Alligator mississippiensis: one gene and its partners. The protein of the gene in region 3 purifies or fractionates together with the protein of the main gene of each other region. This does not show direct contact. Links are inferred from orthologs where the notes say so. Each region holds a gene or a part of one and is shown on either strand. Other genes may lie near its edges. The genes, in order: TCOF1, NOLC1 and ARRB2.

Region 1 (7,786 bases), on a different chromosome or scaffold from region 3:
GGCTTCCACCTACCAATTACAGAAATAAAAGTCTGAAGGGACTCGTCTGCTCGGACCTCCCGGCTACCACAGGCCTTTCAGCTTCACCCAAATACCTCGGGTCAAGCCCAAAGACACTGGTTGCATCAAGTATTTCCGACCTCAAGAAGCTGAACTTGGTGCCGCAGGTAAAGATCAAAAGAGACCAAAGGACAGCCAGGAATTGATTCCTTGAGATGCATCCAGGCGATCCTCAAAGGTAAGCCAGCAGGGGAAGAGGAACCTGCCCCATACAGCCTCCTGCTCCTCTGACCACTTCCATCCCAGCCCTGGATATGGTAACCAGTATGACCGTGAGCATGGGAGTGAGACAGACCAGCCAGGCATGGACTGGACTCTGTGCACCACCTCTGAGCCCTGTCTCCAGATTTAACCCAGAAAGGATATGATGTCCCCAACAGGCAGCCCCTTCCCCGCTGCGTCTGCACTGGAGAGAATGGCCCTGACCTGGTGCTGCCCTTCAGCCCAGCCAGGACGGGATTATTTCCAAAGGGCCTCCTTGCAAAGCATCGGTGGAGGGTCTTTGCTGGGTGGGCACTTCAGTCCTGCTGCACGGCTACCTAGCCATAGGCTATTTCTTTGCCCACCATCATGTGGTGACCTAGCCAGCTTTCTCGAGCTGAGCAGGGTCAGGGTGGGCCACCCCACCGGGCAGAGAGCGGGCGGGCGATTTATTCGGCGGCCCTCTTCCGTCTAGACGAGACCTAGCGGGTGCATGGGACACCACTGCCTGGAGAGGTCCGTTCACCGTCCTGTCTCCCCATGGCCCCTGTTGGTTGTTCAGAGGAGAAAGCAAAGCCTTAGGGGCACCTTGGGGTCTTTAGAAATCAAGTATATTCACTAAGGTCATAATCACAGTTATACAGAGATGCTGCATGCAGCGCTATAGAGCACTTGTACACGTCACGGCGCCAAAAATTGCCACTTTGCTAGGTTAGTCGTGTCTGAAAATACACCTTGACGTCTTTATCGTGGTAGAGCTCGATTTATCGGGGTAAATTAGACCACCTCCAACATGTTTTATTTTTTAGCGTGGCCAATTGTTACAGCAGGATTACTTTGCTCACGATACATAGAGACCGTGAAGCGAGATCCTTGACCCCGGCTGACTGCCACGTGCTGCTGCAGCTGGCCCTAATGCCCAAGTGTCCCTGCAGATCCTCCGATTTCTCTGCGTGGCTAAGCTGGCCCTGGATTTTGCAGCTGCCGCTCTGCCCAATAGATGTGGCCAACCACCTGGACCCAAATCCCCCCAAACTTGGGATGCAGGGTCACGGGGGGAGGTTGTAATGCAGATCTGAGCGGCTCAGGGAACAGCCCCCTATCTATGGTGCACATTTCCCGACTATAAGTACCTAATGTCAAGGATCCATTATTAAGCAAAGAAACTAAGCTGAACCTCGCTCAGCATTCGTGGTAAAGATGGGAGGAAAGCGTCCTCACAGGCCTACGGGTCCACAGACAAGTATCCATAGGAAATGCCAGCTTCCAGATGGCTGAGGAGCTGATTGACAGCAGCTTCCCAGTTTGCTAAATGCTCCCAAGCCGTGCTTTAGACGGGGCATGAGTGGAGTAATTCAGGATGGAATAGATGTGGGCGAGCTTTTCACAAACCGATAATCAAAGGCCTCTAAACCAGCAAGCAATGCACCCGGCTTGTGGAGCGCTGGACACGAACAGGCCTGCCTGGGCATAAGTGTCCTGAGCTGCCTATTAAATTACTACAGCTTTATCCTTGTCTGGATTTTAAAGAGCTTCCTGCAATCCTTTCATGACTCAGTGTCCTGGCATGGAAATCACATAGCTGAAAGGTTAGCTTTTCAAATCCACTGAGGATATTTCACCTTCCTAAAAATAAAGACCTGGCAAAATAGCTCCAAGCTCCTTCAAAAATGCATGAAAAAAAACCTCACCTTTTAATAACTGCATGCTGTTCGGGGAGTTTTGGTTTTTTTCCTCGGTGGGGTTTGGGCTAGGGAGGATTTTCCTATTTATAATTGTGCAGCTGTTTGCTTGGCTGAATCGCTCTATTTATTATACGCCCTGTTTACCTTCCTTACCTGTAACTGCGGCACGACAAAAAAATTCTTCAGATGCATTCGCTGGAGCGGGTTGTGTTACTACAGGTCCCGGCAGCGCCGCCGACTGAGCCGTGTTCAGGGCTCGAGCACGCGAGGGAGGCTCTGGACTGAAGTGACCCCGCACCGGAGCAGGATTGCTTGCTTGGAAAGAAAGCACCAATTTTTAAGCCTTTTTTATAGGGATGCTCTCCACACGTTGTTATCCCACCTGGACGGCTGTCTCACCTGCGTGGCCTTAATGCCATCCTTCTCTTTGCCCTCCCCACCTAGCCGGCTTGCTGCCCCCCTCCCATCTTGCTTTGCACCTATTAGGACTCCTGTTATTTTGTGTAGCTGAAATTCCTGGAAAAAGGAGCTGGGGATTGCAAAGAAGGAAGTGGGAATGGGGAACTTCATTGGCATGCAGGATACGGCTGGCGCAGGTGCCCGCAGCTTGCCCGGGGCTTCTCGAGCACGTTAATAGGAGAGAGGCAGCAAGAGCCCAGGCCAAGCTTGGGTCCAGAGAGGGCAGCGCTGGGCAAGTGAGACTCAGGGGCATCCAAACCCCAAGCCCCCGGGCTTGGGTCCGCACATAGGATGCCCACCAATGGATCTGGGAGCATCTGAAGCCACAGGCTGCAAAGTCTGGGGTGACAGATTCCTGCCGGTTGCAGAGCCACGTACGGTGTTTGAACGATAAAGCGCTGCTCAATCGAGAGGGTTCGGCCAGTTCGACCCAGAATGAGACAAATTTTCCAAAAAAAAAATTCTGAATGGTGTCGAGTGCAAGTCCTGCCCACGACTCCAGCCACCGGGACCCTCCAGCGGCGCTCATTTCCACAGTGCATTTTGCCTCCGTGGGCAGGCAGGCAGGGAGAATGAAGGGTGCTGCAAGCAGGCAGGGCATTACTTGTGACGTGGGACAACCCAAATCAGGGCCCACGACCGTCAAGGCCTTTAAGTGGGTCTAGGCAGGGCTGACCCGGCCTCGAGCACGGGGCTGAGCTAGAAGATCTCTTGTGGTGCCTCCCTGCCCTTATTCCAGGGCACACGTTGAGGTTAGTTGCATGGGACTCGCTGCCCCAGGGAGCATCTTGCCTGGGCACTGAAAGGGGAGCCTACAGTAGCTGCTGAGCACCGAAAAACCCCCGTCCGGAGCTTTTTGGAGAATCTAGGCCCCTTCCATGACTTGGGGTACATCGTCACTTCCCCCCTGTTCTCCCAGATGAGAGATGAGGATGAGTGGGCATGAAGATCTTTGAATGCTAAGGATTGCAGTAATCACCTGGAAGAGGCAAATTCTGCCCAGGGTGGGTGCTCTGTGGGGATATTTGCAGCAGACAGGCCTTTCTCAGCAGGAGGCAGCGAATGGACACCCCCTTTAGCGCGTCCAGGCTTCCTATGCAACTCGGTGAGAGCTGAAAACCTTGCATGGAAAACCTTGCATGACACATCTTGTTTTCTATCGTGAGCCTCGCATGTGGCCCTCCGCGCGGTTTTCGAAAAACAAGCTCCCGGCGTGTCGCAACATTACTTAAAAAAAGAAATCAAAGCAAAACAAACGGAAAGACTCCTGGAGGTATAAAAAACCCTTCCAGATGGGCCCGTGTCAAAGTAGGTCAAAATCTGCTCCTAAATATATGTGCAGCAGACAGTGGCCCTTTTAAGTCTCAGAGGCTGATTCTCATTTGCACCCGGGGTTTTAACGCTGGCGTAACCCCACGGACGTCCACGCCGGGTTGACCTTGGTGGGGTCTCTCTCCTTGGTCATAAAGCCACGGGCGCTGAAAACCTAACGCAGACTTGCCTGAAGGCCAGGCGGGTCCACGCTCTCCAGTTCATACTCAGCAACCGCCTGGATTTATATTGACGACGGGCGATCATTTGCACGAGCGCATATATTTATGTGTATCGATGATGCGCGATCGTTTGCATAACGATCACTCGCCCGGTGCAACGGCGCAGCTGTCGTGTTGCATTGGCTGCTGGAAGACGGCCCCGGGCCCGGGGCGCTCGCGCTCACCTTGACGGCTGAGGCTGTCGAAGGGGCTCGGTTTGGGAGCCAGCTGGCGCAGAGCCAGGCTTATATTTAATCTCGTCCATAAATACTAATAACGGTTGTGCGTTTGAGGGCGGGAGGGGTGCACGGTGCACAGCATTAAACCTTCCAAAAATAAACCTCTGCCGAAGTGAACGGAGCCCGGTTTTTCCTGGAAAGAAAAGAGACTCAGGGGTGGGGGCCGCCTCGCAGAGCCCACCCCCTGCCCAGACCCTCCGTTTCGGGGACTCCTAGGGCTGGCCGCGACCCCCGGCCCGCGTGAAGGAAAGCTGACCCTAAACCATCCCTGACCCGCGCTTCTTTGATCTCCTTTAGAAAACCTCCAACAACCACTCCTTGACTAAAAAGACATGCCAGCATGGAAACCTCTCGGCTCGGCGGTGAGACCCACTGAGGACGGGCAACCAAGCCAAGCCAAACCAAACCAGCAACTTCATGGTGTTTTCCGTCTCAGGACGCGGAGCAATGGGCTCGGGCTGCAGCGAGGGTAAGTGGAGGCGGGCGGGCGGAAGAACTACCCGCCCCACAAGGCCGCGCTGCCGGGAAGAGGAAGGGGGCGGCGCGGGCAAAGGGCGGCGGGCGGCGCGGCGCGGCGGCATGCGGGGCCGAGGCCGGGGCCGGGGCCAGGACCGGGACGCGGGCGGCGGCATGGCCGCGGCGGGGCCGCACCAGCGCGAGCTCCTCGCCTTCATCCACCACCACCTGCGCCAGGCCGGCTTCGCCCGCGCCGCCCGCGAGCTCCAGCGCCAGCTCGGACAGGTAAGGGCGCCCGGCCCGGCCCGGCCCGGCCCGGCCCCGCCGCGTGCGCTGCGCTGCGCTGCGCTGCGCTGCCAGGGGATCCCCGGCCTCCAGGCCAGCGCGGTGCAGTGCCCTGGCCTTCAGTGTGTTGTATGGCAGTGCCCTGGCCTTCAGGGCAGTGCATCGGGGTGCCCCGGACTTCAGGGCAGTGCATTGCAATGCCCTGGGCTTCAGTGTGTTGCATTGGGGTGCCCTGGCCTTCAGTGCAGTGCATGGGGGTGCCCTGGCCTTCAGTGTGTTGCATGGGGGTGCCCTGGCCTTCAGTGCAGTGCATGGGGGTGCCCTGGCCTTCAGTGTGTTGCATGGGGGTGCCCTGGCCTTCAGTGTGTTGCATGGGGGTGCCCTGGCCTTCAGTGCAGTGCATGGGGGTGCCCTGGCCTTCAGTGCAGTGCATGGGGGTGCCCTGGCCTTCAGTGCAGTGCATCGGGGTGCCCTGGCCTTCAGTGTGTTGTATTGCAGTGCCCTGGGCTTCAGTGCAGTGCATCGGGGTGCCCTGGCCTTCAGGGCATTGTATTGTAATGCCCTGGCCTTCAGCGCAGTGCCCCGGGCTTCAGTGTGTTGTATTGCAGTGCCCTGGGCATCAGGGCAGCGCATTGGGGTGCCCCGGGCGTCAATGCACTGGGTTGCCTTGGGTTTCAGTGCATGGCATTGCATAGACCAGTGGTTCTCAAACTTTTTTTCATGGACCACATGAAAATTGCTGAGGGTCTCAGCAGACCACTTAATAAAAATGTTTTTTGTTCTACAAATCAAAGCCCACAACTCATGTTTTAATATCGGTAGTCTGACCTTTAATGCAGTGGACGTGCCTGTTTTTATGAGCAAAGTTCCAGGAAGTCTAGTGTAATGTTTCAGCTTTAGTCTTAGGTCACCTTTCTGCGGACCACCGTTTGAGAACCTCTGCCGTAGACATTAGGGCTGGAAGGGACATTGCAAGATCATGGGATCCAGCCCCCTGCCCCAGGGGCAGGAAGTTTGCTGGGGTCAAATGATCCCAGTGAGATAAGCATCCAAGTGTGTCTTAAAGGGGTCCAGACTAGGTACTTGCACCACTTCTGGGGGAGAGTCTATTCCAGATTGTAGACCCGGATGGTAAAGAAGATTTTTCCAATGTCCAGCCTAAAACAGTCTTCCCAGAGGTTGCACTGGGTTTCAGTGCATTGCATTGGGTTGGGCTGGATATTAGGAAGAATTTTCTCACTAGGAGGGTGGTGAAGCACTGGGCCAAGTTACCCAGAGAGGTGGTGGAGTCTGCATGCTTGGAGGTGTTTAAGACCCGGGTTGACAAAGCCTTGTCTGGGATGCTGTAGTTGGGGCTGGCCCTGCTTGGAGCAGGGGGTTGAACTAGATGCGTCCTCCTGGGGTCCCTTCTAACCCTCGTTTTCTATGATTTCAGTGCACTGCATTGCACTGGATTTGATTGCATTGCATTTGCGGTGCTTCCTATACCTTCATCCCCCTGGCCCAGCCTGGGAGGAACCTCGTGGCCAGGCTGCAGCCCCCCCTGCTCCCCATGGCCACTGCTTCCAGCCTCTTGACAGGTCCCAACAATTGCTTGCTTGTGCTCCTGTGACTGCCCCGTGACGGGGTGGACGTGCTGCGGCTGCCTAGGCTATTCCTGCTGGATCCCCACTACCTCCAAATATAAGCCATGGTGCGTGGCGGGGAGGGAGCGAGGGCTGGGCTGGTGGTTTCTGTGTGATCTGGACCAGACGCCAGACTGATTGAATGGTTGCTCCAAGTAGGGCGCCCTTTTTCTTTTGGCGTCCGCGGTCCCATGGGAAAGTGAGAACTTTGCTTTAAAATAAAATGCTAGCTGGGAAAGGAGGCATCCTGAGCTTGGCCTTATTGCTGTATCTGCGCATGCGTGCAAGGGATGGAGGGGGAATTAATACCCATTCGACCTCAGCTGGTGAGTTAAACCGCTCCTGCCGACTTTTCATGAGGCTGTCTAGGGCTGCACGTGCTGACTGGCCTCTGTGCACGTAGCCAGAAGTGTGTTGGAAACCTCCAGTCGGCCTCCCCAGAAGCGGGCATCGTTGTCTTTAATGGGCTGGCTAGTGCAGGGCTGCAAAAGTCGAGGATGGAGAGCAGTAATTCGAACTCGGTCCCACTCAGAGATGCTGCGAACTGCCTTTAAACAGTGCTGCCAGGCACCTTAGTCCTGAGCGAAGCTGGTGGAGATCCCACGTGGCGCTGTTCCTAACCCACGGTGCCTTTTCTCCATGCAAACATCTGCAGTGTAGACCTGAGACTAGACCTTCCACGTAAATCCTTCTGCTGACAGTGGTGGAGCTCTCCCGAGTTGCATGGAGCAGCTGAGTCCTTCGACTTCCTTTGTATCGTGTTGGTAGTGGACCTTGAACTGAAACGATGGGGGCTGCAGTTCTGTTCGATGGTTTCTTAGTCATCTGCTGAGACCCCTTAAGTCATGTTTTTTGCAGTGTCTTTCCATCTGCTTCCTGCTTTCCCTTGCACCTTGATAAGAACTGGAATTAATGTTTCCTTTCTGTTTCTCCCGCAGAAAGAGTTTCCTTCGCTGCCGACCTCTCTCGAGGAGATCTTCACCCACTGGAAGAAGTAAGTCCGTCCAGTAGAAACCCTTATCAAAAAGGCTCCAACTCATTTTTCTCTCCCACCATAGCAGGAACCAAATTCGGCTGCCTTTGCGGTTTCTGCTCGCTGGGGTGGGCTGACTTACCGGAAATACTCTCGCTGCTGCAAGATGGAAATGTGGTTTGAACGATGGGGTCTTCTCCACTACCATGCCCTGCCTTCCGCATCTACAGCTGCTTAAAAGACAGCTCTCCTAGGGCATAAGAGTTAAATA
Region 2 (7,283 bases), on a different chromosome or scaffold from region 3:
GCTGGGATGTGACTATCAGGGGATAAGGAGTTCCCAGAGCTCCAGAGAGGCACGTCAGTGACCTGTGCCAGGGGCAGGGTCCAAGCCACAGTAGTGCCCATGGGGCATATGAGTGTTTGAGCCCTTGCTAGAGGCTGAGTTCAAACCCCAGGCAGGCAGCAGCTAAGAGGTCTAAAGCCTGGTGAAAGAGGTGGCCTGAAGCTGGAAGGGCTAAAGGGTAGAGCCCAAGAGGGTGAAACCAAGTCCAGGGGCCCACAGCCTGAGATGGGGGAGCTAGAGACAGACTGAAGCTGGGAAGGCCAAGGCCAGAGACGCAAGACGGGTGAGACTAGGGCCAGGGGCCCCAAGCCCAAGAGGTCAAAACATAGTCCGAGAGGGTGAGTCAAGAGCTGGAGCCCAGAAGCCAGGTCCAGCACGATGGGCCTAGGCAGAGGAGCTAATGAAAGGAAAGGGGTAGCAGCCAGGAGGGTTGAAGCCCCAGCAAGAGTGGAGAGGTCTGAAAAAGACCAGACCTGACACTGATTGACTGATAACCTCCACGAGGCATGGGCATGGCTACAGAGGAGGACAAAGACCACAAAATTAGCCCTTAAGGCAACAGGTGCCCTGGAGGGAGCATGGGTGGATCAGAAGGGCCCACCTAGTGCCTGAGGGGCAGATTTGGGGACCAGGGGGGTCCAGGAGGGACCAACTGGCCAAGAAGGATGGATGAGGGTTCACTTGGAGACCCCAGGGTTCACTTGGAGACCCCAGGGAAGCCTCCATTTCACAAACCAACTCATTACATCAAGGTGTGGCAGGTGAGGGAAAAGGAAAGGGGCCCAGGGAGCCAGAGTGGGTGCAGGAGCTGCGCTGCCATCAGGGGATATCACAGCCACCCCTGGGGGCTCTATCCTGCTACAAGCACACAGAAGAATCAGCTAGTACAATCCCTATCTCCTCGAGAGAAGCTTTTATAAGCCAACAGTATCAACACAAGATCTTTCACAAGCACTCAGACGTTGTGGACTCTAACAATGAGTCCTTGTCCATTGACTGACAAAAGGGTGTTCAGGAAGGATGGCTTTAATGGGATCAGATCTAGTTTTGAGATATGTGGCTGCTTCTGGATGTAGAAGCTTTTGGAGATGGCAAAGTGAGGAAGACAGCCACACAGTGAGCTCAGCATATTTTGGATTTTCCCTGCTACTGGAGTGCAGGGTACACTGCTGCTGGGAGAGAAATCAGTATAACCATACCAAGCCCCCACTGCAGGATGTCTTATGTCTACCAAAGCAATCTCCTCCCCACATCAGCCCATTTAGAGTTATTTCTGCAGAACCCAATTCTTTGTGTTACAGTAATACATGCTGGACTGTGTTTCTTGTCAATAAGCGTATAAATACCAAATCCCTGTAGAATTTTATTTTTCCTGAAGATCCGTACACCATAGATATGTTTAAAATTTAAATTTAAAATTACAAAAGCAAGTGCTTCTTTGTTCAGTGCCAGGCTTGCTTTCTCTCTTTCTCTCTCTCTTTTAAATTTAAATCAAATCTTACATTTGCAAAAGAAGTAGAGGAGTTGGTGATACAGATTCAACAGTGTTGAGAGCTCCTCAAGAGAGAGCAGCACTCCTAAAATCTCAGATAATAGCACTGTAATAATGTCAAAGTCTAATAATGGCCTTATGGCCTGAAGTGCATCCCATTTCCTACCCATAATGTCCAACAACACAAGACTCTGAACCAAGATTGCAAGAGGACAGCCTGCCTCAATCCTATTGGAAACAGTGAGAGATCCTCTCATTAAACATAAGCTACTCATCTTCACTTATGAATCCCTTTGCAAACTATCCCTACCCTACCTATCCTCTCTCATTCTGCATCAAGAGGTCTATTTCCTCTGATCAACTCATGATGTTAGCTGCCATCAACCACTTGTTAGATTTTCAACCCAAGCCTTTCATCCTGCTCTCCATGCCTGGGACAGGCTCCCCATAATCATCTGCAGAATGACCATATTATTCAGTCTCAAGACCCTCATCAGGATTCTCCTTTGCCCTGATTTCAAGGAAACTGTACGGATAATGAGTAGGCTGCCAAAACTGTTGCCTCCCATGGTGCCTGGTATTCTCATTTTATTCCCTTGCGTTCCTCCATCTGTCTGTCTTCATCTGTCACTGCCTTATGCTTCACTCACAAGCTCTCTGTGTACAGGTGGTCTTCCTGCTCTGGAGGTACAGCACCGAGCACCCCTGGATGCTGACTGGTGACTGGGGCTGCTGGGTGCTACAGTAACAGGCCTCATTTCAGTGCCTGCAGAGGCCCCCAGCCAGGCCCCACCAAGCTCCCCTGCAAAGCCTCCTCTCAGCTCAACAAGGTCCTTTTCCCCAGCTGAGGACTCCCGGGTGGCCCACCACAGCCCCGGGGCAGCCGCAGGAGCTTAAGGGGGGCATGTATGGACAGGGCTCTGGCCTGGATCTTTGCCACTTGTTGGCTTTGCCTCATGCTCCCGCCTTTGCCTTTGGGGAGGTGCCTGCATCCGAGTCTGATGGCAGCACCTAGAGCAGGGGTGCAAGCTGCGCAGGATGCAGCTCCACTGGAAAGGCCATGGGCGCCTTGCTTCTTGCCTCCAGCCATTCTTTGATGGCAGGGCCCCACTGGACCCCAGGCAGGGCAGGACAAGCCCTGTGGGGTCCCCATGCATTTCTCTTGTGAGTCCCTCGCGGATCTATCATGGTGTGACCCCTGAGGGGCTCTTCAGGGGTGGAGGAAGACTCACTGCTTTAGAAGCCCACCCCGGCAAGGCCAGGCCAGGCCCAAGGGTCTGGCAGCCCCAAGAAGGGCACCAGGGCTGGCACATCGGGTTTAAGGGTTTGAAGGAATGAAATGATCAAATTTGAAATTATCACATTTGCTGAAAAACGATTGTACACTGAAAACGTATGCAAATAAGTATGCAAATAATTATTTTTATTGACTTTATATTGCTTCTCACTTTAAGTCGCCAGTGAGTGAGTGAGAACAAGTTGACGCGTTTGTTTATTTCGAGGACAGCTGTCACAAGACAGTGCTGACAGCAACCTCGGCAGTCGGTTACGACTCTGCCCCGCCTGAGGCTGACCTGATGCAGGCAGGCAGAAACATGCGACCGTCTCTTCTGGGACTGCCCACACGCCAGGGAGGTGGGAAGAAAGTCTGTGCGCTCGTCCTGGTGGTGGGAGGTTTCAGAGACCTGACCAGGGAAGAGGTTCTTACGGGCACTTGACCATGGGCGACTTGTGCCCCGCTTGTGACCAGTCCCGCTGACTGGGGGGTACCCCCGCAGCCGGGGAAGATCCCCACAGCCGATCCCGGAATGGCCGATCGCTGCGACCTATAGCCGCAGCCGCTTCCGGGAGTGACTGCAGCGATCAGCCGGCGCTTGCAGGGGGGCACCGGCACTCCCACCTGCCCATCGCCTAAGCGGCAAGTGCTGCCGGTCGGGGGGTGCACCGGCGCTCTCAGGGGGTGCATGTGCTCCCCCGTGCACCGCCTATGCCACTGCACCTGCCCAGACAGCACGGGGCCCCGACCAGTTCTTTGCCTGCTTCAGGTGGGCACTGTGCAAAACCAGCTACCTGCTCACAGACTGACACTTGGACCCCACAGTTGAGGACTGTATTAAAAAAGGACAAAGTGAAATGTACTGGTACTACAGAAAGACACAAGAGGATGACAGGAAAGAAATGGCAGACCTCATCTGGTGGAGAGGGGCCTGGCATAGACATTTTCAGAATTAGCGCCTCTGGGTGGGGCAGTGGGCGCGGGGACGGGTATAGGGACGGGTGCGCGGTCACGCGGTGCGAACCGTGTAATGGGTTTTCAGTGTGCTGCGCTGCCAGTGAACTTGGCAGACTGTTGGAGGTGGAGTTATTTATTTATTTATTTATTTATATAGAAGTATTTTTGCAAAAAAAAAAAAAGTGGGTTAAAACTCTCCGAGTGACTTGGGTTCTGCACATCCTGCATCAATTCGCTGCCTCAAAAAATGACCCTACATGTTGAACACCGTGGCTATCATTGACCGTACATTGTGCCGGGGTTGTGCAAACACCATAACCATAGCGCCCCCGGACGGCTGGGCTGCCCGGCGCACGCGCAGTGCGGCCGCCCGACGCCAGGTGGCGCCAGCAGCTGCCGAGCAGCGCTGCCCGACCTCAAGATGGCGGCCGCGCTCCGCCCGCCCCTGCCGGCGGCCTGGCCCCCGACCCCTGACCTCCGACCCCTACCGCGGAGGCGGGCGGTACACGTGGTGGCGGCAGCATGGCGGGTCGGCGCGTGGTGCCCAGCGACCTGCTGCCCCTCGTGTTGGGCTTTCTGCGGCAGCACCGCTTCGACCGCGCCGCGCGCGCCTTCGCCCGGGAGGCCGGAGTGGTGCGGGCCGGGCTGGGCCGGGTCGGGGGGCGGTCGGGCCGGAGGGTCTGGGGGTCTGGGCCGGGCCCGCGCTGACGCCCGTGTGTGCTCTTGCAGGCGGACCAGGACCCCAACGCCGCCTCGCTGCTCGACGTCTTCGACCACTGGCTCAAGTGAGTGCCGGCGGGGCCAGGTGCGGCCGGGCTGGGGGCCGGGCCGCCGCCCTCCTTCCCCTCCCCACCCCCGGGTCGGTCCGTGGGGGGAGGGTCCCGCTCGCGGGCTTGGATGGGGGAGACGCCTTGCTCCAGCTGGGAAGTGAGTGCTTCCTCCAGCCAGCCATGCCTGGACAGCCAACACCAAGGGCCAGCGAGTGGTGCATGAGTTTGTGACTGGGAGTGCATGGACCAGACGAGTTCAGCTCAGATGCAGCTGCCGCTCCTGAGCGTAAAACACAAATGCTGTCGTGGGTTGGCGTAAGCCTTTCTGAAACACTAGGTTTCACCATAACCCTCTGTTTAAGTCAGGGGTGGCCAGCCTGCAGCATGTGTGCCACACGTGGCACAAGCAGTCTGCGCATGGCACGCGGCAGATCAAGGAGGGGGCTGCAGCCCCCGGCAGGGAGGGCAGAAAGCAGAGCAGCAGGTCATGCCGCCGGAGGGGGGTTGGAGTGGCACTCAGGGAGGGTACGGGGCTTAATTTGTGACGCATCTGCCAGAACGGTTGGCCCCGCTGATTTATGAATCCAGAACAGACAGTTAAGCGTGTTTCAGCCCCATGAAAAAGACAATGCAATAGAAAGGGGGTTGGGCTCAGGGCATCTGTATGTTCTTCAGAGGGTTACGTGTTTTGAGCTTGGGAATCCTCACTGCTTTCATGGAGAAACTCCTACTCTAGAGTCAAACTCTTTCTAGCGTTTCTGGTCAGAAAGTACCATACTTACTCAAATCTGAGATGAGGTCATTTTCCCCATTCAACAGAGGTGGGGGGTAAATTTGAGAACAAGATGGAGCAGTAGGTAGCTGCTGTGGCTCTAGCCCTGACCCAGAGTCAGAGCTTCCGTCTCTGCCCCATGCCAGTCTACCCCTTTGCGTCCCTCTTCCCCCTCTGGCTGCTGTTACTTACCTGGGGTCCTGGCTTTGGCCTAGAGCACAGAGCACATGCTATCTCCAGGCTCTACCTGGGATGGCAGCTGCTGCAAGTGTTGGCAGCTCTAGTGCTGACTCAGGGCTGGGGCAGGTCCATAGCTGCTGCTTCTGAGCCAAGCAGGGGCCAGAACTGGCATGTTCCCTGGGTCAGAGCAGGACTGGACTTGGACCCAGACCTGGAGCCACAACCTGGGGTAAGTGGTGGTGGCAGGGGGGAAGGCGAAGGCAAATGGTAGGAAGAGGCTGGGACTAGAGAGGGAGCTAAGTGCCAAGGGGGGCAGGCACCAGGGAGGCAGTAAGTGCTAGGGGGGCAGGTGCCAGGTGATGCAGGCACAGGGAGCATGAGGTGGGAGACAAGCTGCGTATCTCCTTGTCACTACTTGCCCCCCTGCTGCTGTTTTCCCTGTCACAGCAATGGTAGGGACACACTTAAGACAACCCACCCAAGAATTAGATTCTGCGCATGGAAAATTGTAAAAAGTTAATATATAGAATCTAATTATTAGGTATTTGTCTTACATTCTAAGTTGTCTTGTATTGAGATAAAAATGGCAGAGAGTCGAGCTGCACTCAGATCTCCAGTACCACAAGTGTCAGAGCAGGAGCAGAGAATACCCTGACACAGCCACTCCTTTATCTTGTGAGGAGTTTGGATCAGTTTTTTTTAAGTTCCCCCAGTTTCTGCTTCTGCTCTACCTAGCTCCCCAGTCATGCTGCTTCTGGGGTTGTTTTGCTTACTTTTCTTGGGTTTTTTTGTTTCTTTTTAAGCACAGGTGTGTGTTTGTAGATCCTAGGACAGTGGCTCCCAACCTCAGGTCATGACCCAAATCAGGGTCGCAGGAGGTCTGCCCTTCATTCCACCTCTTCTGCCTGCGGGGCTGTCCCGGTGCACAGTCCATGCGGCTCTCGCTGCCGCTGCCCCCCACAATCCTAGCCCAGCCCAGGCTTTACTGGCACCACCGGGCATGAGTGAGTTGGGGGCAGGGTTCACGATCTGGATTTGGGGTTGCTGCAAAAAAAGGTTGGGAGCCACTGCCCTAGGAGTCCCTTGAACAGGGTTGTTCTGTGTTGATTTTGTTCGGGTGGCAGTCTGACCCCTGATCTGAAGGACAGTGTTTTGCATTAGAGGTGCACCGATACATTGGTCCGATATCGGATCAGCACTGATGTAAAGAAAAGGCCCCTGTGGTGAGGGAGGGAGTAAGGAAGGAGCTAGGGTAGGTGCTGCCTGGCGGGGGGCGGGACAGAACCACAACTCGTCCAGGCATAGTGGGGCAGGGGCGTGGCTCCTGGTGATGCATGCACCCTGGGGGGGAGGGGTGGCATGTGCCCCTGGATCTGCGTGGGGTGCAGGTTAGGCTGCATCTGCAGGCTGCGGCTGGGGTTGTGCCAGGCTCTTCCTGGCAGAAGGGGGGGTGGCGGTGCTGGGAGGATGGGCTATGGGGGGGCTATGGTGAAATTTGGGCGGGGGCTGCAGCCCTCTCCCCATAGTCCCCCTCTCAGCACTGCCACCCACCCTGAGTGCGGCCCCAGCCTGCAGCTGCAGCCTGCCCCACACAGGTCTGGGGGGCACACGTGCACACACCCCACCCCAGGATGCGCGCAGCAGCAGGAGCTGCTCCATGCCCCACCCCCCTGGACAAACCATGGCTCCATCCTGCGCCTTGCCCCGGCTTGGCAACGCCTGCCCCAGCACTGCTTCTTCAGTGCAGGGGACTTGATCTCCCCCCACACTCCTTCCCTTCCCCCTCCCCTTCCACCA
Region 3 (7,622 bases):
AAAATGAGCTCATCCCTACACTTTCAAGTTAACCCCCCACACCCCTCCCAGCATTTCATAGAAATGAAGTGTATGGGACAGGCCCTAGAGCTGGGGTGGCCAACTGGTGGCTCTGGGGCCACGTGCGGCTCTTCAAAAGTTAATATGCATCTCCTTGAACCTTTGCACAAGCACGGTGACCAGCTGCTATAGCCGTTATGTCACGTGACATGACTGCTTGCATATTACATATTACTGTGGCTCTTTGGCAATGTACATTGCTAAATTCTGGCTCCTTCTCAGGCTTAGGTTGGTCACCCCTGCCCTGGAGGGAAGCCAGGCCGGAGCAGGCCAGACCTGCTGCCATCCAGCCCACTCATACCTTAGAGAACCCTTTTATCAACCTTGGTCACTGCATGCAGTCGAGGCCCTTCGGTGCCACCGCGGGGTTGCTCTTGGCTCTGAAGCTGTGTGCCCCCCTGGAGGTGGAAGCGCAGGGGCAAGATCCTCTAGCCAGGACCCTGCGGGATTGGTGCTAGCAGCAGCACCTAGTGCCTCTGGGGGAGGCTTAAAAACCCCTTGACACATGGGGCAACAAGGGGGGGGGGCACCCAGCAGCCAGGGAAGAGTCCCAGGCAGGGCTGAGGCACTGCGACACTCAGGTCATCCCCTGCTTTTGGATATCAGCTGTATCAAATGTGGTCTCTTGACAGGGGGTAACCTGGGCCTGGGTCTCTTCCAGCTAGCTGGGCTCTGTTGCATGCTGCCACCCCCCCATGAGTCAGGGGGTTTCCCTTCCCCTAGCAGCATTGGGTGCTGCTGCAGCCCAGGCTGGGGGTGGGGACTGGGCTGGGCTGCTGCCGGGGACTCAGCCCTGGCACGTTGGGGTGGGAAGGAGGAAGCTGGGAGCCCAGATGTCTTGGTTCTCTTGGATGGGAGCGGGCTGGAGTGTGATGGCAGGGGGGTCTGGGAGCCTGGATGTTGGAGTTCTCTCACCAGGTCTTTGTGGGCAGCTGCACAATTATTGTAACAGACTTTTATTAACCATGACTTAGTGCTTGCTTTACCTGACTTGTGCAAACGTGTTGGGCATTATGCTGCAGAGCTACTCAGACTTTTTTTAGGAGCACTTTTTGCCACTTCATTTGTAAATTGGGCTGCATCATTGTTTGTTCCGCTACTGCAACATTTCCTGTTTGAGCGACCAGCTTCACACTTTGCTCCAGAAGCAAGATTTGGTTTTACAAAACTGGAAATTCTGTATGTAAAATAATATATTTTTGCATCGGTTCAATTGAGGTTTGGGTCAGGGTTGATTTTCAAATGGTATTGTTTTTTATGGAGGTAAAAATACAATGTTTTTGTTTTAAATGCATGATTTTTACAGATAAACTAAAGACGTTTGACAATACTGGGGTTTCTTTTCCTTCTGTTTCTGTCGTTCTTCTGTCTCCGCCACTGAGCCACTGCATGGGATCAACTGTGATAACAGGTTGAAGTCATGGCCCTTGGCCACTGCATCAGCCCAACCAGGAGTGGGGTGCTCCAGCCCCACTGTCCTCAAAGAATCTCAGTGGTGGCAGCAGATACTTTAGCCCCCTGGATCCACTAGGGCTGACTGTGATGGACACTCTAGTCCCCGTTTGTGCAGGCGGATGCTTTAGCCTGCCACAGCCACCTGCATTTCCATGGTTAAGGACATCCAACCCCCCTCCCCTCGAGTTTCAATGGTACCAGCTGTTCTTGGCAGCATGGAGGACCCCTCATTCATTTAAATGTGCCCCCAACCCTCACTGTCCTAGCATCAGCCCCTTCCCCTAAAATGCCCTCCTTACCCACAATGCACCTGAAAGCCCAACTCCCTCTCCCCCCATACAGCCAACCAATCACTTCCCCTCTAGAGACAAGTCCCCCCCCTACCCACAATGCAGCTGGAAAAGCCCTTGGGGAACCTCTCCCTCCAGAGCCTTTGCACCCCCCACCCACCCATAAAGCCAACCCCAACAGAGCCAAGGCCTAATGCACTGGGAAGCACACTTGAGAACCCCCCCTCCATAGAGGGAATCTCAATTCCTTCTTCCCCACCATAAATCCAACCCCTGCATGCTTACTCCCTAATATAGCCAACCCCACAATGGATGTGGAAAAGCCCTTGAGAACTGCCCAGTCCTCCCCCCCCCCCAACATAGAACCAGCCTCTCCATCCTACTCTTTCTGTGTAGCCACTTCAACCTACCCACAATGCACCTAACCGCCCCCCCCCCCCGCTCTCTGCTCCCTAGTGGACAGACAACCTCCCAATCCTTTTCTCCTATAAAGAAGACCATCTCCAGTCTGGTCCTCTATATATAGCAAATACCCCTATAGCCAACCCCCATCCTTCCCCTTCCCCTCCCCCTCCAGTATAGAGCCAATCTTCTCCCCATGAGACACCCGAGGCTCTAGGGCAGCTGCAGGGTCCACTTCCATTGCACAAGACAAAAACCTCCAGCGTGGGGGGGGGAGACAGATTTGGGGGGTGCAACACCCCAGAGCTGCGGCTCAGACCCCCCACAGAAAGGGGACTGCTAGATCCCCCCAACCCCCTTCTTGTCGGTCCAAGGACCTGACTCTGCTCCCAGCAAGGGGCCCCCATTACCAAAAACCGCTGCTGCCCGCTCCCGGGAAGCATTTGACAGGGAGGGGCAAGAACAGAAGATCATCGTCCGGGGGGAGGGGGGGGGGGGAATAAATAAGAGGCGGCAGCTACCATTCGGCAGCTGAGCGCAGGGGGGGAACAGAGGGAGGGAGGTACCACTTGGCGGCGACCCCTGGAAAGCGACGAGAAGGGGATGGGCCTGGACGGTTCCATTCTGTTCAAGGTGGGGGCTATTCATGGGGACACTTCGACGAAGCCCCTAATTCCCCCCACCCCCATCATTCTGGGGGCGGGGGTGGTTATAAGAGCCGGATTGTACCGGAGGAGGGGGTGGAGCGGGATACGGGGGAACTAAGCTCCCTTTTACACTTCGGGGGAGAATGGTACGGCCCACAGAGCTCCCGGGCGCGGGGACAGGGGTCACGTGACAAGGCCCAGAGCTGGGTCATATGGGCACATAGAAATTGGATGATCCCCCGCAAGAGGGTCGTAAAGGGACTTGAGCCGCCCCGCTGGTCCCAGTCCCCCACCGAGAACCAGGGTCTGGGCCTCCAGTCCCCTCCTCCCACCCCAGGCCCCTCCTCTCGCAGAGACTTAGACCCTTAGTCCTGGGGCTAGGGGACAGATGCCCTGTCCGTATAGTCCTGGGCCTAGGTGACCTAATCTCCTCTGCGTTACACTGAGACCGCTGTGTCGTTAGGCCTGCCCTCGTTAATCCCAGCCCTGTCCAAACCAGCCCAGACGATCCCGTCCAGAGCACTGGGCACAGACTGGTTCAGACCAGGGGTCCCCTCCTTGCCCCCCAGCTCTGCCCAGTCTCGGGTCAGCTGGATCCTGCCAGTCCCCCCGGGCCCGTAACCACAGGCAGGTTCCTGGCTGGGGTTGAGTCACGCCCGCCCCCAGCGCCCCGTGGTGGCCGGACGTGGGTATGGGCGTGTGCGTGTGCCAAGGGGCCGCGGGTGTGAACACAGCGCTGTGTGCAAGAGGGGTGCGGTTGTGTCCAAGCACAGGTGTGTGTGTGTGTGGGGGGGGGATGTATGTGCACTGGGTATGAAGATGTGCGTGTGTGCAGCTCCATGCACAACTGTCTGCTGTGTGCACATGCGTGTGGGTAAGATGCAAGTTCACTTACATGTGTCTAAAAATTTGCATGTGTGCATGTGCAGATCTGTGCTCAAGGGTGGTGTGGAGATCTGTGCAGTCATGTTTGCACGTATGAGGGTGTATGGGTGCATGTGTGGGGTGTATGTGCATGTGGGCATGAAAATGTGTGCATGTGTGCATGCAGCTCCATGCACAGCTGTGTGCACATGCATGTGAGGATGGTGGGAGTTCACCCGTGTGTGTCTACAAATCTTGGTATATGTGTGCAGATCTGTGCTCAAAGGTGTGCGCATGCAGATCAGTGTACGTGTGTTTGCACGTGTGTGTATGTCTGCAGGCCTGTTTGCACACGTGTGTGCATGTGCAGGTGGGGGTGCATGTGTGCAGGTGGGGGCTCATTTGCACATGCGTGCACACACACACACAGACACACACTTGGCTGCCTGTGGAGACCTGTGGCCAGAACAAAGCATGTGTGTGAGGATCCAGGCCCAACTGCCCATGTGGACGGCTCTGCATTGGTGTGCTTCCATACACGTGGGGGACGCAGGCACACCTGTGTGCGCCCAAAAACGTGCAACTGTGTGCATCTGCACAACCCCCATGCGCATGGATGTGTGTGTGTGTGCAGACCTGTGCACATGCGTGCAGGTGTGCGTGGAGTGGTTGCAGGTGCACACGCGTGTGTACTACATGTGTAAACATGTGCCTGCATGTACACGCACAAGTACAAAGCACACGCGTGTACTACGCCTGGGGCACGCGAGGGGGGAACTCTCCCGCCCTTGACGTCCCCCCCTCCTCCCCCGCGCGCCCTGTGATTGGCTGCCCCGCCCCCCCACGTGACCGCCCCCCCCTCCCCTGCCATGTCCCCACTCGGGTCCGCAACTCCCTGCAGCCCGCGCCGGGGGCTCCCGCCGCCCGCCTAGGACCCCCCGCGCCATGGGGGAGAAGGCGGGCACCAGGTGAGGGGCAGGGACCCCAGGCGTCTGGACGCCCCCCCCGCGAGAGCCCCGGCGTCCGGGCCAGCCTCCCGCGCCCACCCCCTCCGCTCCTCCGGCGTCCGCCCCCCGCTCCCCGGCTAATCTGGGCTCAGGGTCCTGCCGTGCCAGGCTGGGAGGGGAGGGGGAATGATGGAGCTGCCCGCGCCTGGCATCGCCGGCCCCGGACGCCTGGGTCCGTTTTTTGTGGGGGGCGAGAGAGACCAGGACGCCTGGGTTCTCTGGAGACCCCTGGCCCCGCCGGTGCCCCTCACTCCTGCCCCGCAGCCCCCTACTGCCCAGTGCCCTTCACTCTTGATCTGCAGCCCCCCAAAGCCTCATGGGTGCCCCATACTCCCGACCTGCAGGCTCCTGCCCCCCCAGCCCTGCCAGTGCCCCTCAATCCTGACCCGCAGCCCCTGCCCCACACCCTTTGGGGCTGGGGGAGGGAAGCTGCAGCTAATGAGGCAGTTGAGCCTTTTGGGGCTTCCAGGCCAGAAAGAGGAAGTGAAAATTGCCAAGCGTTAATTCGGAAGTTGGCAAGGGCTGGGTGGGGGTGGGAGGGTGCAGGGGGAGAGGAGATGTGACCCCCCTCCACTCCACAGTTCAAGCCCCAGGGTACTGCAGGGAGCAGGGATAACGGGTCCCCTGTGCGGCTGGCTCTGGGGTGGGGCGTTGGGGCTGGGTAGAACAGGTCCTAGGTGCGGCTGCCTCTGGGGTGGAACAGGGCCAGGTGTAACGGGGTTCCCTGCTGCAGCTGGTGGTGGGGTGGGGGGCATCATTGCACTGCAGCCCCCCAGATCAGGGTCCTGTTCTGGGTTGTGGGGGGCAGGTTGGCCATTGTGGGGGATGGACGGACATGAGGATCCTCCGTGCTACTTCCCGTCTAGAAACAAACAGGAAGCAGCACGTCCTGTCACAGCCACGGCCCCTCCCTACCCCCACTGCCCTGCCTGTGTCCCTCACTCCTGACCTGCAGCCCCTGCCCCCCCAACCCTCCTGGTGCCCCTCACTCCTGACCTGTAGCTCCTGCTGGTGCCCCCTGCCCCCAAGGACTAGGCTCCTCATCACCCTTAAGGCTCCTCCTGGACTCCCCCTCAGGCCTCTGTAGATGCCCCCAGGCTTCATGTTTCTGTGGCAACCAGCTAGGCCTAAGCCCATCTTTAGGAGTTTGGTGGTTATGGGCCTGGGGGCAGAGCAGGGGGGAGGTCAAAGATCAGGTCTGATCCCCTGGATGTTGCGGGGGCTGAGGCTGTGATTCTCCCCTCTGCAGGGTCTTCAAGAAGTCGAGCCCTAACTGCAAGGTGAGTGATCCCTGCCCTCCACCAGCCCTGCGTGCCCCTCACTCCTGAACCGCAGCCCCCCCCGCCCCCCCTTCGGTTTCCTGTAGCATTTCCACCCCTGCCCATCTTCCTTCCTCCCCCCCCCCTCCCCCCAACTTGGCCACAAGGTGCGGGGGAGGGGCTGTGGCTGGGTTAGATTCAGGCTGTGGCTCGTGAGTCCAGCACAGCCTAGGAGGGGTTAATCCCCCCTCCTTGCACCTGGGGGATCCTGTAATGGGGGGACCAGGAGCTGGAGGGCAGTTTTGGGGGGCTGTGGGTTGGGAGTAAGGGGCACTGGCAGGGGTGTTGGGGGCTGGGGGGCAATTCTGGGGTCGGGAGAGGTCTGCTCCCCCTGTCACGTTTCCCCCCCCCCACCAGCTGACTGTCTACCTGGGCAAAAGGGACTTTGTGGACCACCTGGACTCCGTGGACCTCGTGGGTGAGTTGGTTTGGGGGGGTCAGGAAAAGGGTCTGCGGGAGTGTGGGCTGTTGGTGGGCTCGTCCAACCCCCCCTACACCTTTTCCCCTCCCCCCAGATGGCGTGGTGCTGGTGGACCCTGAATACCTGAAGGACCGGAAAGGTGGGCATGGCCTGGACCTATGGGGGGGAGGTGTCCTCGGGGGTGTGGCTTGATGGATGGGTGATCCCTTGGTTCCTGGGATGGGGGGTGTCCCAAGGGGGTGGGGCTTGGGGTCTGAAGATCTTGTTGTGGGGGTATTGCCTGAGGGGTTGGGGGGGTCTCCAAGGCGTGGGGCCTGGGGTTCCCCAAGACGGTGTGGCTTGCACTGACCCCACCCCAACCCCGCAGTGTTCGTGACGCTGACCTGCGCTTTCCGCTATGGGCGCGAGGACTTGGACGTTCTTGGTCTGTCCTTCCGCAAGGACCTGTTCTCGGAGGCACTGCAGGCTGCGCCCCCCCCTGCATCCCCCCCACTCACCCCCACCCGCCTGCAGGACCGTCTGCTGCGCAAGCTGGGCCCTCGAGCCCACCCCTTCGCCTTCAAAGTGAGTGGCCTCCGCAAACCCCAAACCAGCCCCCAGGGACCACCCTGTTTAACTGTTTCTGCCTCCCCCCCAGATACCCCCCAATCTGCCATGTTCGGTGACGCTACAGCCAGGGCCTGAGGACACGGGCAAGGTAGGGGCTGTGGGTCAGGAGTGAGGGGCACCCGCAGGCCTGGGTGGGCAGGGGGCTGCAGGTTGGGAGTGAGGGGCACTGACATTAACAGGGTCTCCCCCTCCAGGCCTGTGGGGTCGACTATGAGATCAGAGCTTTCTGTGCCAAATCCTTGGAGGAAAAGATTCACAAGAGGTAAGGGGCTACCATCCCCCCCTGCTCACCTCCCAGCATGGGCAACTGCTTTCACCTTAGTTGGGGGGACACATGCCTCCCCGTGACTAGTCCCACCAACAGGGGGGTCCCCCCACGGTTTCTCTCACTGCTGGGGGGTGGGTCCCAGAAGTGGCTGGGAGTGATTGGCCAGTGCTTGTGTGACCGGCCAGGGGGTGCACCGGCGCTCGGTGCGGGGGGATGAACCTAGGTGTCCAGGCTCCCAGCCCCTCCCCTTTCCTCCCCTCACCCAGGAACTCGGTGCGCC

Evidence for each region.
Region 1: the proteins of ARRB2 (region 3) and TCOF1 purify together in Homo sapiens (affinity purification with western blotting; 4 studies listed by BioGRID and IntAct, with this or other methods). This does not show direct contact. The link is inferred for Alligator mississippiensis from reciprocal best matches to the Homo sapiens genes ARRB2 and TCOF1.
Region 2: the proteins of ARRB2 (region 3) and NOLC1 purify together in Homo sapiens (affinity purification with mass spectrometry; 5 studies listed by BioGRID and IntAct, counting the BioPlex papers as one, with this or other methods). This does not show direct contact. The link is inferred for Alligator mississippiensis from reciprocal best matches to the Homo sapiens genes ARRB2 and NOLC1.

Annotation. Positions count from the first base shown.
Region 1 is NC_081832.1:75,212,443-75,220,228, forward strand, and holds the start of TCOF1 (treacle protein), read left to right. Parts: upstream 1-4,747; 5' UTR 4,748-4,755; coding exon 4,756-4,917; intron 4,918-7,480; coding exon 7,481-7,536; intron 7,537-7,786.
Region 2 is NC_081829.1:17,771,304-17,778,586, forward strand, and holds the start of NOLC1 (nucleolar and coiled-body phosphoprotein 1), read left to right. Parts: upstream 1-4,252; 5' UTR 4,253-4,286; coding exon 4,287-4,397; intron 4,398-4,493; coding exon 4,494-4,549; intron 4,550-7,283. UniProt on the Homo sapiens protein: Nucleolar protein that acts as a regulator of RNA polymerase I by connecting RNA polymerase I with enzymes responsible for ribosomal processing and modification.
Region 3 is NC_081838.1:23,720,476-23,728,097, reverse strand, and holds the start of ARRB2 (beta-arrestin-2), read left to right. Parts: upstream 1-4,569; 5' UTR 4,570-4,663; coding exon 4,664-4,686; intron 4,687-5,974; coding exon 5,975-6,005; intron 6,006-6,401; coding exon 6,402-6,462; intron 6,463-6,559; coding exon 6,560-6,604; intron 6,605-6,832; coding exon 6,833-7,029; intron 7,030-7,102; coding exon 7,103-7,162; intron 7,163-7,268; coding exon 7,269-7,336; intron 7,337-7,608; coding exon 7,609-7,622. UniProt on the Homo sapiens protein: Functions in regulating agonist-mediated G-protein coupled receptor (GPCR) signaling by mediating both receptor desensitization and resensitization processes.